Linked DNA regions of Saccharomyces cerevisiae S288C. The protein of the gene in region 2 interacts with the protein of the main gene of each other region in a biochemical or structural test. Each region holds a gene or a part of one and is shown on either strand. Other genes may lie near its edges.

What was found.
Region 1: the proteins of BIT2 (region 2) and SLM2 form a complex in vitro, tested with the Saccharomyces cerevisiae proteins (one study listed by BioGRID).

The regions. Positions count from the first base shown.
Region 1 is NC_001146.8:537,256-544,816, reverse strand, and holds SLM2 (phosphatidylinositol 4,5-bisphosphate-binding protein), read left to right. Parts: upstream 1-2,935; coding exon 2,936-4,906; downstream 4,907-7,561. Other genes in the region: LAP2 (bifunctional aminopeptidase/epoxide hydrolase), read right to left, coding at 1-1,854; YNL046W (uncharacterized protein), read right to left, coding at 1,995-2,513; alpha-1,2-mannosyltransferase ALG11, read right to left, coding at 4,998-6,644; COPII subunit SFB2, read left to right, coding at 6,906-7,561. UniProt on the Saccharomyces cerevisiae protein: Together with SLM1, effector of the TORC2- and calcineurin-signaling pathways. Phosphorylated and activated by TORC2 under favorable growth conditions. Mediates actin polarization via inhibition of calcineurin-dependent transcription.
Region 2 is NC_001134.8:741,696-749,177, reverse strand, and holds BIT2 (Bit2p), read left to right. Parts: upstream 1-4,779; coding exon 4,780-6,417; downstream 6,418-7,482. Other genes in the region: UBX7 (Ubx7p), read left to right, coding at 1-1,117; HSM3 (Hsm3p), read left to right, coding at 1,375-2,817; EFM2 (S-adenosylmethionine-dependent methyltransferase), read right to left, coding at 3,067-4,326; SDH8 (Sdh8p), read left to right, coding at 6,602-7,018.

The DNA of each region.
Region 1 (7,561 bases), on a different chromosome or scaffold from region 2:
CAAATGCTTATATTCTTCTTGCAGCTTGGCAAAGATCTGAAATTTGAACATCTTGAAAACAACTTCCGCGTTCTGTGATTTAACAATGTTATCTTGATAGATATCTAACAGTGCCCTAGATGCCACGGGAAACTTGGCCCAGTCAAAATCTTTTGGTTTCTTGTTGGAATGGCCATTTTGTGTCAAAGTTTCCAAGAACAAAACCAATTGATTTGAATTAAAATCCTTAATGTCAATAGCGTTAAATTCAGACCGGAAATCCTCTGTGGTTTTCAAATGTTGAGCCATTTCGACCCACTTGTCAGCCAATTGATAAACATTATCAGCCAAAGCCGTAATAAAATGAGGCCTTGGTGGCATACCTGGTTTATACAGCCAAGTTTCCCAGTCAACGGAATCCAAAATTTCTTTCTTTTCGGGATAGAACTCATACAAAGTATCCAAAAACTGGAAAGTATCCAATGATTTTTTGGCAAACTTCTTGAAATAGTGTCTAATAAATGGATCAAATTCAGCCTTACCACCCAAAATAGTTTCCAAGTGAAATAGTAAGTTGAACCCCTTTTCGTACGGAACAGTGGAAAAGGCATCGTCAGGGTCAGTGTTATCGTTCAAGTTTTGTACCAAAGTGGAAAATCTTTCAGGATCTTTCATAGAATCAATAGAATTCTGCAAATCGCTCCAACCAATCAGAGCACTGAAATGTCTAGTTGGTTCGCCATGAATGGCACCAATAATTCTTCTTTCTAAGTAAACGGTCCAACCTTCATTCAACCAAAAATGATTCCACGAACAATTGGTCACTAAGTTACCAGACCATGAGTGAGCAAGTTCATGGGCGATGACATCAATGTTGGATCTGTCATGTGCAATCAAGGTGGGCGTAGCAAAAGTCATATTCGGAGACTCCATACCGCCGTAAGGGTACGAATCGACGTTAACTAAGATATCATAAGTGCCCCACTCGTATTCAAAGATAATTTTCTCTGCAGTTTGAATGAATTTCTCTACATCGTTTTCAAATTCCCATTGACAATCTTTCAAACGAAATGGTTCAGTGTAAACTGTGGAACGAGGTCCAATTGGAGCGCTTGACAAATCACCGGAAGCAATACCGATCAGGTAGGCTGGGATAGGGACTTTCTGTTCAAATCTGTAAATATTAGTATCCTTGCTTGTATCTTCAATCCTGATGCCTGAAAAAACCACTGGTAGTGGGGACTCGATAGATGCAGTGAAAGTAGACTTCACAGAGGGAGTATCAAAGCAGGGGAACAAAGACCTCGCATGAATAGCTTCCAACTGTGAAAACACGTACGGTTTACCGCCCTTGGTTTGCTTGCTGTTCAACCATTGCAAAGCGGTGCACTTGTCAGTCGTACGAAATTGAATATTCAAGGTAAAGTTATCGTTGCAAGAAGCGTTATTGATGACTAACCTGGAGCCCAATGGCTCCTTTCTTTGCTCAATTTGAAAATCTGCCTTGGAACCATCAATATGAACCTCCTGGACATCCAAATAGGATGTATCCAGATGTAATTCATCCGATTTATTTTTACCTTCGTGCAGTTTTTTCAATTGGAATGTAACGCTCCCTGAAATGGCTGACTTTTCGAAGGAAACAGACAGGTTTAAATCGGTGTGAAGAACTGCGAAGTCCTTATAATTTGATAAAGTAGACTGATCGTATTCGGGGGAGCGGGAAGGTCTTCTCTGCTCAATTGAAAGAGGCAACATTTTATGAGGGGTGGAAATGTGTATGTTTCTTGAGATTACAGTAAGTAAACCTCGAAATCGAAGCGTGGGCAGGTAAATAGAGCTGGAATGACGAATGACAAATGGAAGCAAGAACATCAATTAGAACACCAAGATAACCTAATACATAAAGCAAACTATACTAAAGTGCGTTTATATAAGTCAAACGAAAAAGTGGAAGAAAAAAAGTGACATGATTTTCCATACGCAATGCCCCCGGAAACTGAAGACGCATTGTGTCAAAAGATGAATGAAAGCCACGACGAAACAGCCGAAAATGGTGACAGGAGAGGGCCAACGAGCCCCGTGAGAAGACCTGTGTAGGGCGTACCCATGAAGGAGGCCCCTATGATTTTCCATTTGGAAACACTCAGGATGTTTTCTGATGACTGGATGATGATGTCCTTGAGGACCAGGAGACAGCCAAAAAATACAATTGAGATCGCGAGCACAACAACCAAAGGCCTTGTGTTGATGTCATAGCGAACATACCTTTCATTGATATGATGCGTAGATGGCGTTACTGACGGTGAGCTGTTGTACATAGAGTTTTTGACTCTCACGCTTTGATTATCCCTAAAATCACCCGGAATTCTGTACTGGGATTCAACCGGCACTGCCTGCTTCTGTACCCTTCTTTTATGCAGCAGCTTCCGCAGTTGGTTAGTGGTTCCGCATTTCTGTGATTTGCTTCCATCTACAGTTGAAGTTTTCCTCTTAAAGAATTGCCCAATTGACCTCTTTGATACGTGCTCCATTAATATCTTGCGCCGAAATTGTCACACTATGCTCACGTATGATTAGTGTATTTATATATGAATAATTCAAATGGCAGGCAGTTTCTTGTTCGAGCCAGCATTGGCGAAAAAAATGCCAAAAGTAGAAGTAAATACGGTAGACACTCCAGCAAGATAAAGCTGCAATATATAACACATCACGGCGATGCTTGTATATTTAGGAGCTCTTACGTCCACCAATGCTAATATATCCTCCTAATGATGGCGCTGATACTGGTAAAAACTCATAATGGTAGTAGTCATTAGCCAATACCTGCCTCTTTTTTCCGGGTCATGCCGCATTCTTTAATCAAAAGGCGATGCAACCTACTACATGAGAAGATGACCGCGCAAGCAAAGGTTTAGGAGAGCGTTATACGCTTTACCCAGCCGTCCATTGCACCATGTCTTACCAACGGAACAGTGCAAGAGCCTCTCTTGACCTCAGAAGTCAATATCAACAACTGGAAGGCAGAATGAGGTCAGAACATTTTAATCCCGCCTATCAACAGCAGCAACAAAAAGGCCAGAACATACCCCTGTCACTACCCTCGTCGCTTGCGCAACGCAATCCTATACCTTACCCTATCGACGCTGTGACTTCCGATCCCACTATCCCGGCTCAGTTGAACGTATATGATCACGATCGGCAAAATTCGATAGTCGATGCTGCGGCTGGCACCAATACGACGCACTCTTTGAACTCTAATAATATTCCATCATCACAAAATAATAATATTAATAATAACAATATCAATAATGTTGGTTCCTTCACTGACCCTTCCATGCTAACGCTGCCAAAAATGTCTTTACATAGCCACCAGAAGCAGTATGATTCTAACCAAAACGATCCTAGGTCCCCTCTGGCGATACTGATACCGACTTCTGCGCAGCCCACTGATGTCTTGTCTGCTAGGTTTTCTGCCTGGAGAAATGTTATTCGTGCCATCTTGGTATATCTCTCTGAGACCGCCTCAATACAGGACGAAATAGTTAGACAGCAACTGAGGTTGTCCCATGCTGTGCAGTTCCCCTTTTTCAGCATTGAAAACCAATATCAACCGGTCTCTAATGAAGACAAGTCCATGCAGAAATTTTTTCTGCCCTTAGGAAGTGGATCCGTTCAAGATTTGCCCACGATGCTGACCAAGTATCATGATAATCTGGCCTCTTTGGCATCGAAAAGTTCCAAGGAGTTGACCAGTGAAATTATACCCAGGCTAGAGGATTTGAGAAGAGATTTACTAGTCAAGATTAAAGAAATTAAGGCTTTGCAATCTGATTTTAAAAATTCCTGTAACAAAGAGCTTCAGCAAACTAAACACTTGATGAAGCTTTTTAATGAATCATTAAAAGAATGTAAATTAGGTACACCAAAGAGTGACCCATTTTTGATAAAATTGCAATTGGAAAAGCAAATCAAAAGACAGTTGGTGGAAGAAAATTATTTGCACGAGGCATTCGATAACTTGCAGAATTCAGGGGCCCAGTTAGAAAGTGTTATTGTAATGGAAATACAGAACGGATTGACCAGCTACGCTAGAATTCTTGGCAAAGAAGCCCAAGTTGTATTTGACTCAGTTATCTCTAAATTAGATTCCACGATACTGAACAAAAACACGAATCTTGAATGGGATAGTTTCATTCTAAGGAATATTTCCAATTTTGTGCCTCCAAATTTACCCATGAGGAGGTTTAAAGAGATCTCGTATAGCAATCAAAACGATCCTTTTACTTTTGAAGTTAAATCTGGGTTTCTGGAGAAAAGATCAAAATTTTTAAAGTCATACTCACGTGGGTTTTATGTCCTCACTCCAAGCTTTTTACATGAATTTAAGACACCAGATAAGCATAAATTTTCCACACCGTTAATGTCAATACCATTAGTGGAATGTACTGTCACTGAGCATTCCAAAAAGACGAAATCCAACTCAGAGCAGGGCAAGAACAAGTTTATATTGCGTACGAATTCTAACGGACTAATACATAGGGGTCACAACTGGGTATTCAAAGTAGACTCTTATGACGATATGATAGAATGGTTTGGAAATATCAAAGCCTTATCAAGTTTGCCCAACTATGACGACAAATGCAAATATGTGAGTAAAGTTGCCAAACTGTCTAAAGAAAAAGCCAAGAGTAATGAAAACACCACGGAGAGCGTGACCCCCCAGGTAACTAATGAGCAACATACGAGATACGATGATGTGAGTAGTAGCAATTTTCCCTTGAATTCCATTCCAAAATTAGACAATTTGACAATCACTAACACCACGTCATCGATACCGGAAACGAATGATTCACAAATTCAGAATAGGGTTCCTGAATTTTACATTGAAAATGTAGATTCCCCTAGAAAAAGCAATCAGCTGTGACAAGTAAGTTAATTATATAGTAATGCTCTAGTTTGTATGTAATATTATGTATAAGTTTTCTCATAAACAAGGCTTCTATTTTCAAAAAACATCAGCCCCTTTCCTCCTCTTCTAATAATTTACAAATAGGATTCAGTACAAAGTTTTCCCAATCTTTATCAAACTTCAAATCAGAGAATTTATACAATGAATACTGCTGGTTTCTTGCGCCCATCACCCTTAGGCAGTCATAGTCCAGTTTCGTAATTTGTAAGAAAAGGTCGGACAAATTAGGGTATCTCAGAGGATCTTTGGTTGTGTTATAATCAGGATCACTCGGCTCTTTAAAGAAAAATCCAGTAGTTTCACCATCATCTTCGAGTTTTGCAAAATATTTCTTTTGTAACTCCCATTGTGGTGGAGCTTTTCCGATATTCCCGTTGGCATCCCATGGAGTAACTATATCTAACAATGGGCCCGCCGAGGCATGAACTATGGGGATCAAACCGGAAGCCATATACTCTACAACTGCAATTCCAAAGTGCTCATTCCACATGGCATTAACACCGAAAGTAGATTTGTTTAGTAATATTTCAATCTTATCGAAGGGCAGATTTTTTTCGAATGATATCAAATGTTTAGGAATTTTTAATACATTTTCTGACCAGTCTTGTAAACTTTTAACATAATTTTCATCTTGCTTGGATCTAGTGGACCCCGCCATTATCAATTTAATTGGCGATACAGAATCCGGTAAATTTTTCAAGAAAGTTGCAAAGGACTCAATGATTAACTTATGACGTTTCTCAGGACGAAATTGTGCCAACACAATTGCTTGATTTAATCTCTCACCCTTTGCAGTACCAAACTTTTGCTTCCAATCTACTAATTTCTCAGTAGAGCATGGAGGATATATAATTTTACACGTATTGGATTGCCAAATTTGCTTTATGTGGTTATTTGTCCATGTTGAGTTTGTGATTACAATATCAATTTTAGAACCAATGGATTGATAAATTAACATAAAAACTTTCCAGTATAATATTTTACCGTAAACTTTGATACCCTTCTTGGGCATTTTGAACAGCTTATTTAACATGTCTTTTGACATTATCGGATAATGCGTATATGTGACGATAGGAATTCTCCTCAAAAACCTAGCAATAATAGGATAGCTGAAAGGGTACCCCATTGTATCAATCCATATATCAGGTGGACACTGAATAATGGATTCAAATGCGAGAATCATTGATCCAATTGCTTGTCCAATCAACGTGAAATGCTTCCATGTTGAAGAATCCACCAAGTATCTTAGCTTCAATGAAATGAAAAATATTCTATCCGAATCCAAGTCGTAATCGAACTTCGCTTTCACATTATTTAGAATATTCTCCGGAGTAACATTCTCTCCATTCACAAAATCCCCTGAATAAATGACAATAACGTTCTTAGCATCTTTTCTCAAAGTGATATCTACAGCTTTCCAGAGCACTTTTTCCCCACCACCACCAGCATTACAATACGGATGAAAAAAACCAAAAACTTTCACATTCTTCTCACCACAGGAGGCAACTGCTCTGTTCAGTAATGAAGATTTTTTGGAGAACGGATTCAAGCTGGAATACACCCATTGACGGAAGATCCACGTGAGAACCTTAATTAGTCCATACACTAGTACTAAAGATGATACAACATATTTTTTGAACCCAAAATGAGACTTAACCTCTTCAAAATTGTAGTTTGTCCAAGCACTGCCCATTTTCGCCTGCAATCACCTGAACATGTTGGTCACACTTGGATACTAACATCTATCTTCACTTCACTTACCTCTCAATCTTATTATTTATTGAACTTTTCACTTTTTGTTTAGCTTACCCGAAGGACATAGATGTAGCGATGACAACGATGAATGATACGTCAGTTAAAAGGGTCTTCGTCGAACTCTTCATCTAACCCTTCATTTGCAGTGTGCTTGGTTGATGAACCTTCTTCCATTAATGATCGACAGCTGCAGTGAATAATGTCTCATCATAAGAAGAGGGTGTACCCTCAAGCTCAGGTGCCATACATTGCAAGTATGCCAATAGTTGCAGAGCAACAGCAGTCTCAACAACAAATCGACCAAACAGCTTATGCAATGGGCAACCTACAATTGAACAATAGGGCTAACTCATTTACACAGCTAGCTCAAAATCAACAGTTTCCTGGTTCTGGGAAAGTGGTCAATCAACTATACCCTGTGGATTTGTTTACAGAATTACCTCCGCCAATCCGTGACCTGTCTTTACCACCTCTTCCAATCACCATTTCTCAGGATAACATTGTGACTCCATCCGAATATTCAAATGTTCCATACCAGTACGTCAGATCTACTTTGAAAGCGGTGCCAAAAACAAACTCTCTGCTGAAGAAAACGAAGTTACCATTTGCCATTGTTATTAGACCATATTTGCATTTGCAAGATTCAGACAACCAAGTACCGCTAAATACTGACGGAGTCATTGTCCGCTGTCGCCGTTGTCGTTCATATATGAACCCTTTTGTCGTTTTCATTAACCAAGGGAGAAAATGGCAATGTAATATATGCCGTTTCAAAAATGATGTCCCATTTGGGTTTGATCAGAACTTACAAGGCGCTCCAATCAACAGATATGAAAGAAACGAAATTAAAAACTC
Region 2 (7,482 bases):
GTTCCAGTTATTTGAGCAAGTATTTCCTAATGTAGTTGTACCCAGTATATACTTGATACGTGCTGGAAAGATAGAATTGATTATTCAAGGCGAGGATGACCGACATTGGGAGAAGTTGCTGGCGTGCATAGGCATCAAAGACAAAAAGGCTGGTGAGAGTTCGTCCAGGGAAACCAATCCAGGTTTGGCTAGAGAAGAAAAGTCATCCAGAGACGTCCATAGGAAAAATGCAAGAGAACGGATTGCTGAGACTACCTTAGAGATCCAACGTCGTGAACAACTGAAACAAAGAAAGCTGGCTGAGGAGGAAAGAGAAAGAATTATAAGACTTGTTAGGGCAGACCGTGCAGAAAGAAAAGCTCTTGATGAAACTCATCACAGAACCCTTGATGATGATAAGCCATTGGATGTTCATGATTACATAAAAGACGCACAAAAACTGCACAGCAGCAAATGCGTCTTGCAAATCAGGATGACTGATGGCAAGACTCTAAAACATGAGTTCAACTCGTCTGAAACATTAAATGACGTTAGAAAATGGGTGGACGTCAACAGGACAGATGGAGACTGCCCGTACTCATTCCACAGGGGCATTCCCAGAGTGACATTTAAGGATTCTGATGAATTGAAGACGCTAGAGACACTAGAACTAACTCCAAGGTCTGCATTATTACTTAAACCACTAGAAACTCAAAACTCGGGGCTATCTGTGACTGGGATGGAGGGACCAAGCCTTTTGGGCCGTCTTTATAAGGGATTCTCTACGTGGTGGCACAACGATAAAGATCCTGAAGTAACATCACAACGTGAGGAAACATCGAAGCCGAATCGTCACGAAGTGAGGTCTTCAACACCTTTATCTGGAGCTGCTTCGTCAAGCTGTTTCCAATACAACAATGTTCGGGAACCAGTTCAATCATCTGCTCATGCATCACCAATGCTGACACCTAGCGGAACCAGGTACCCATCGGAAACCAACCTTACTACGTCACGTTCTGTCTCGCCAAATGTTTTCCAATTTGTTAACAACGATCATCAAGAAGATCCTGAAGACCCAACAACCTTTAATGGTAATAATGTCCATTTAGAAAAGAAAAAGGACGAAGATAAAAAATAAGTAGTTAATGGCTTCAACTCCATTTATGACTAGTATTAGACGTGAATTTTTTTTGATTAGATTACATAAAAAAATATACAGTAATTTTATTTACATGGATTTTTGTTATAGCTGGTATTTTTATATCTTTTTTTCTGTTTCAAATGCATATAGAAAAATTGAAGAGTAAGTTTATATAAACACCTTAATTACGGGATTAAAAATAAAACAAGTTTACAACTATAATCACCGCAAAAGAACTCAGCGAAACAGGAGCAATGAGTGAGAAAGAAACAAATTACGTGGAAAATCTCCTTACGCAATTAGAAAATGAACTTAATGAAGATAACTTGCCTGAAGATATCAACACACTATTAAGGAAATGTTCTTTGAATCTTGTGACTGTTGTCTCCCTTCCAGATATGGATGTTAAACCACTACTGGCTACGATCAAGCGTTTTCTGACGTCTAACGTATCCTATGATTCATTGAATTACGATTACCTTTTGGACGTTGTGGACAAGCTTGTTCCCATGGCTGATTTTGACGATGTTCTAGAAGTTTATAGCGCGGAGGACTTAGTGAAGGCCCTTAGGTCAGAAATAGATCCATTAAAAGTAGCAGCATGTAGAGTCATTGAGAATTCGCAGCCAAAGGGTTTATTCGCGACCAGTAATATCATCGATATTCTATTGGATATTCTATTTGATGAGAAAGTGGAGAATGATAAGCTCATTACAGCAATCGAAAAAGCGTTGGAAAGGTTGAGTACAGATGAATTGATTAGGCGTCGATTATTTGATAATAATTTGCCATACCTGGTGAGCGTAAAGGGTAGAATGGAAACGGTTTCTTTTGTCAGATTAATTGACTTCTTGACTATTGAGTTTCAATTCATCAGCGGTCCTGAGTTCAAGGATATCATATTTTGCTTTACTAAAGAAGAGATACTGAAATCCGTTGAAGATATCCTCGTTTTCATCGAATTGGTTAATTATTATACTAAGTTTTTGCTGGAAATACGAAATCAAGATAAATACTGGGCTTTAAGACATGTAAAAAAAATACTGCCAGTATTTGCTCAACTTTTTGAAGACACGGAGAACTATCCTGATGTCAGGGCCTTTTCTACAAATTGTCTTTTACAGTTATTCGCAGAGGTGTCACGAATTGAGGAAGATGAATATTCTTTATTCAAGACTATGGACAAAGATTCTTTAAAAATTGGGTCCGAAGCAAAATTAATAACCGAGTGGTTGGAATTAATTAATCCGCAGTACTTGGTAAAATATCATAAAGATGTGGTCGAAAACTATTTTCACGTCAGTGGCTACAGCATTGGAATGTTGAGAAATCTTTCAGCAGATGAAGAATGTTTCAATGCTATAAGAAACAAGTTTAGTGCTGAGATTGTCTTAAGACTACCGTACTTAGAACAAATGCAAGTAGTAGAAACCTTGACGAGATACGAATACACTTCAAAATTTCTGCTCAATGAGATGCCAAAGGTGATGGGCAGCTTGATAGGTGATGGGAGCGCAGGTGCTATTATAGATCTTGAGACTGTGCATTATAGGAATTCTGCCTTGAGAAATTTACTGGACAAAGGTGAAGAAAAGTTAAGTGTATGGTATGAACCTTTATTGCGAGAATACTCCAAAGCAGTTAACGGAAAAAATTATTCCACAGGCAGTGAAACTAAGATTGCAGATTGCAGATGATTATGTTGCATAAGCGCAACTATAAAGGCGGCCTTGATTGTTTAATGTACTACCAGTATTGATTCCTGTCTGAATCAAAAACTAACCTTTTGGCGAGGTGGCCCATTCAGTTTTCTTCTCCATAAATTGTATAAATCAGTATGTAAGGTCTGGCAAGTACTTATAATTCACATTTCAATGTCTATGTAGCATGCATGATTTTTATTATAAAGAAAAACTATTCGCCTAAGCGCGTTCGTTTCTTTCCCACTAATTGCGAACGATTTGCCTATATAAATACTTAACGGCACCCCAATCATCCACACCCTCTGAATGCCGTTCTTCAACTACTTTTAAATCACTCTCTTTTAGTAATAATTTCAAAACCTCTCGTTCTTTGGCGTATTTTGCCCTTAAAGGTATTTCTAGGTGACAGGTCCCTGATGCCGCCAAAAACTTCGATATCATGTTAACTACCCATTCCGGATGCTGAGGCGAATATATCGGGTCGGCGATCAATATGACGTCAAATTCATTTTCATGTCCAAATTTATCTATAAAATCGTGAGGATTAGTCCAATCTAATATCTCTGCTTGAACGAAATCTCCTAAATTATTTAATGACACATTTTTCTTCAAATTCGTCACAATCTCGGGTAAATCCGTCACGAAGATTTCTATATTTTCAGTTCCATAAAGTTCTTTCCATTTTAAGGCCCATGAAAGTCCTACTAAACCAGTGCCCGCTCCTAATTCTAATACTTTAATCTGTTTGATGTCGCTGTTCGCTAACATGTTCACATTAGTGGTATGTAGGTAATCCAGGTGATCTACGACTAATTGTGAAAGTATTAAAGATGATCCCCATGTTTTCCAACCAAGATTATCGGCCGTTAAAGAGGGTTCATGAAGCGGTATGGAAGTGCTTAGATTTCTTAATTCAAAATATCTTACTATGGATGGTTGGGCCGTTCTCCCACAGTTTTCGGATATCCTTGAGCTCAATTCCTTAAGAAGTTCTTGTATGATTTCCTCATTCAATCCGCAACTATTATTGTATTTTTTCAATACACTAGTATAGTAGCCCAACAGTAGTTCTTTGGATACTGTAAATCTCAGCATTGGGATTTTATTGCATATCTTTTCCAACGAGTTTAACCTCTTGTTAGGCCATTCTTCTGTATACCAAGTCAAAAGTCTTTTCAGCAGATCGGGTTCCAGCCCATGACTCTTGCAAACCTCCAGTACAGATTTGTTCTTCCCTGTCTCCTGATTGAAGTTTACTTGTCTATCGGGCTTCAGAAGTATTAGTATACAAAGGATAACTTCTGGCGGAGCATACTTCACGGAGGGCAGATCCAGATTATCGATAATGGTGTCATCGTCGTCACTCTCTTCTTCATCTACAGCCGTTAATATTTCGTCACGTTGCGGTGAGCAAGGATCTTTTGGCTCTCTCTCTGCTAGATTGAACTGTAAAGCCTCAACCTGGATGTCATCAGGGGTGTACAAATCGAGAGGATCAAACATAGTGAAATATCCGCTATGGAACTCCTAACTTGCATGAGTTAGATACTTGAAAAGTAATATACAGATTGCACTACTATTATTTTGTAGCTCATCGCGAAATTGAAGAAAAAATTTACGATTGGAAAAAAAAAAACTACTATCAGAAATAGGTGAACCAATTTTAATGCCTGGATAGAGCTGCATACGCTACTAGCTTAAACCAATATTGGTGTCGCCTGTTTTCCTTTACCCAATCCAATATACCACTATACTGCGAATGAAGGTGTTGAAATAATTTGACAAGAGCACTTTATCCATTTTGCATGCGACCTTTACTAGCAATTTTTCAGCGATCTTTGCGGGCTTTAAAATAAGGTCAAAATTAAAGGGAGAAAGATAGAAGACAGTAAATAAAAAATACAAACCACAATAAGCATAAGTGGCTAGGCGAGTCTTAAACTACAGAGTCAAGCAATGGCAACAGACCTAAATCGTAAAAGAAGTGCTACCTCAGGCTCACTGAGCGTCACGAACCCGAACATAAAAGCAACTAATCGCAAACCAGCTAGAGTTTATAGTGTTTCTTCTGATATAGTACCGCAAGCGCTGACACATCCCGACGAAGATGTGCATCTAAAAACATCCAAATCTCCTCATGATGCCGCTCCTAGATGGTCACAGGTGGGGTTTCAATCTATATTCCATGATGGTTCCAATGCAAGGCGCTCGACGGATTCGATTGAAGAGGAGTACAGCCAAGGCACGGAGAATAACGATGGTCACTCCGAAATAGGTTCATCAAGTAGTAACCGAATGGAGGGGAACACCACGTCTAATGATAGTTTATTTTCTTCCAACTCAAGGGGCAATAAAAGGCGACTGTCCATCTTCACCAATTCAAAAGATAATATGAGAAATCGAAGCAGGAGCGGGTCAAAAAACTACGGCACTGTTATTACCGGCACAAGTAGTAACAACATAAGTAGGAGTGGCTCTAAATTGTTTCATACGAAATCTAATATGAGTGTGAACAGTTTACAATCTTCACTGTCTACAGGACATTCTCATTCAAACAAAGGCAGTAATGTCTTTAGCAAAATGGCAAAAAAGCTTTTACCCTACAAGCCGCATAATTCCATTGGTAAAGACGACGTTGAACCCGTAGTTCCCAGCCCATTCAGTAAATTTCTGCATTCTTCATATGGTAAACATAGGTCACCCGTACAGTTTATCCATACTTCTACTGGAGGCCTTATTGACTCTGGAAAATCTGTATATTCCTTTAACCCTAGCATTAACAACAACCCTAATGATACAGCTCTATCGCTGATCCAAGATGATGCTTTCGACGCGACTAATGTTTCTTTACTACATGATTTACTGAAAAACTTGCCATCCTTGATAGCAAACTATAAAAGCTTCACCGTACAGGAGTTATTTGTTCTGGAGGGGAATATCTGGGGTATATACTGCAGCATAGTTGTGGAGCTATTTAAAAACAAGAGGGTATGGCAATTGCCAGCAAAAATAGAAGATATTGACCGGCTGCTGGAATTTTATATCACTTTGAAAACACAAACCAAGGCTGCCGTAACGCACTCAAGGTTTTTGGCCGAAATCGAGGAATTCATTACCACTTCACTTTACATTTTAGAGAACCAGATTGTGTTCAATTATGCCAATGAGGATACCGTAAATACGGCTTTGAAAAGAGTCGGCATAATCTGGAAGGTGTTTTACCAACAGGTTTACTACGACATGATGGCAGTGTTACTGCCCTTCGAGAAAAGCTTCCAAAAAAATAGTAACTACTGGCTTGACGGATATCTATCTGAACCTTCAAGGTACGCACCGTCAATTGATGTCCTTTTATTAAAGTGTTTTAGAGACTCCATCATTCTTCCGTATTACGAAAGCTTCCTACATACAAATGACGGTGCCAGTAAGAGTTTTCAAAGATATATTTTCAGCGAGGAAGAACAGAACGGCGTCACAGAGGAAGATAAACTGACGCTGCTGCAGTGTTTTGGGATCCTGAATACCATAAAAGGTAACAGCAGAAACCAAAGAATTATTGGTGAACTTCTTGAGGGCATACGCATGAGTATATAATTAAATATTTTATTTAGTAATATACAATAGTGGCATATAGATAGGTGTATTTCCTTTTTCTTGTTCCAAGAATCCGGAAAAACAGATGCTCTTTTCCGCCCTATAAAGGGGCCAATGGGGAAAGTGCAGATCATATTAACTTGCTAAAGAGTCAGAAAGAACCAAATAATAAAAAGAAGAACTAATGTTGTGCGCCATCAAAAGCACAGGTTATCGGTATCCTCGCACGGGAGCCTTAAATCTACTACGTGGACGACCATTTAATATGGCCACCCGAAAAATAACTACTGAAAGGATCCCCGGCCCTCCCAAGCTGCCAAGAGAAGAGCAGGAAGAGTTCGAAAGACTTCAGAGGATTGCCACATCGCAAGAGGCAATAGATCAGTATAATGCGCAGGCCACCGGCGATCGTACAAAGGAGAGTTTGAATTCACCGCTTTTAACCAAAAACGATATTGGGTCATTCTCGCCTGAATTTTCCAAGACCATACCTGAATTCGAAGGTGATGTTAACCCCAAGACTGGTGAAGTTGGGGGTCCCAAGCAGGACCCGTTGAGACACGGCGATTATTCGTTTAACGGAAGAGTAACGGATTTCTAGATATTTGGTCCGGCCAATTTTTAATAATACTATTCTTATTTGATGAAACTGCGTAACGTTCAATTTACTTTTCAATATGTATGTTGTTATGCTTTATTTTGAATATATAATATATATATGTGTGTGTTATGAAATGCATACGTTTCATGTTTGCCTAAAATCTCTTTCTTGTGAGCGTCCTTCGAATTCTTTTCGAGTATGAATTGAACCTATTTCGCATGTTTTTCGTGGAGACAGTCTTTCTAGTGCTTTTTAACCTTACCTTTGGCATGTTTTTGATCTTTACACTGGGCACATTCATACTTATCTTAGCCATGATTGACAATTCAACTATCTTGTTTCTTGCGAATTTGTGGTACTCTAAAGGATTTAATTTTTAACGTTTTGTTTGTCCCACTTGGTATTCCCCAGGCGAAAAGATATGTGGGAACTATCATGTTTTTGTTGGTACAAAATAAGGCATT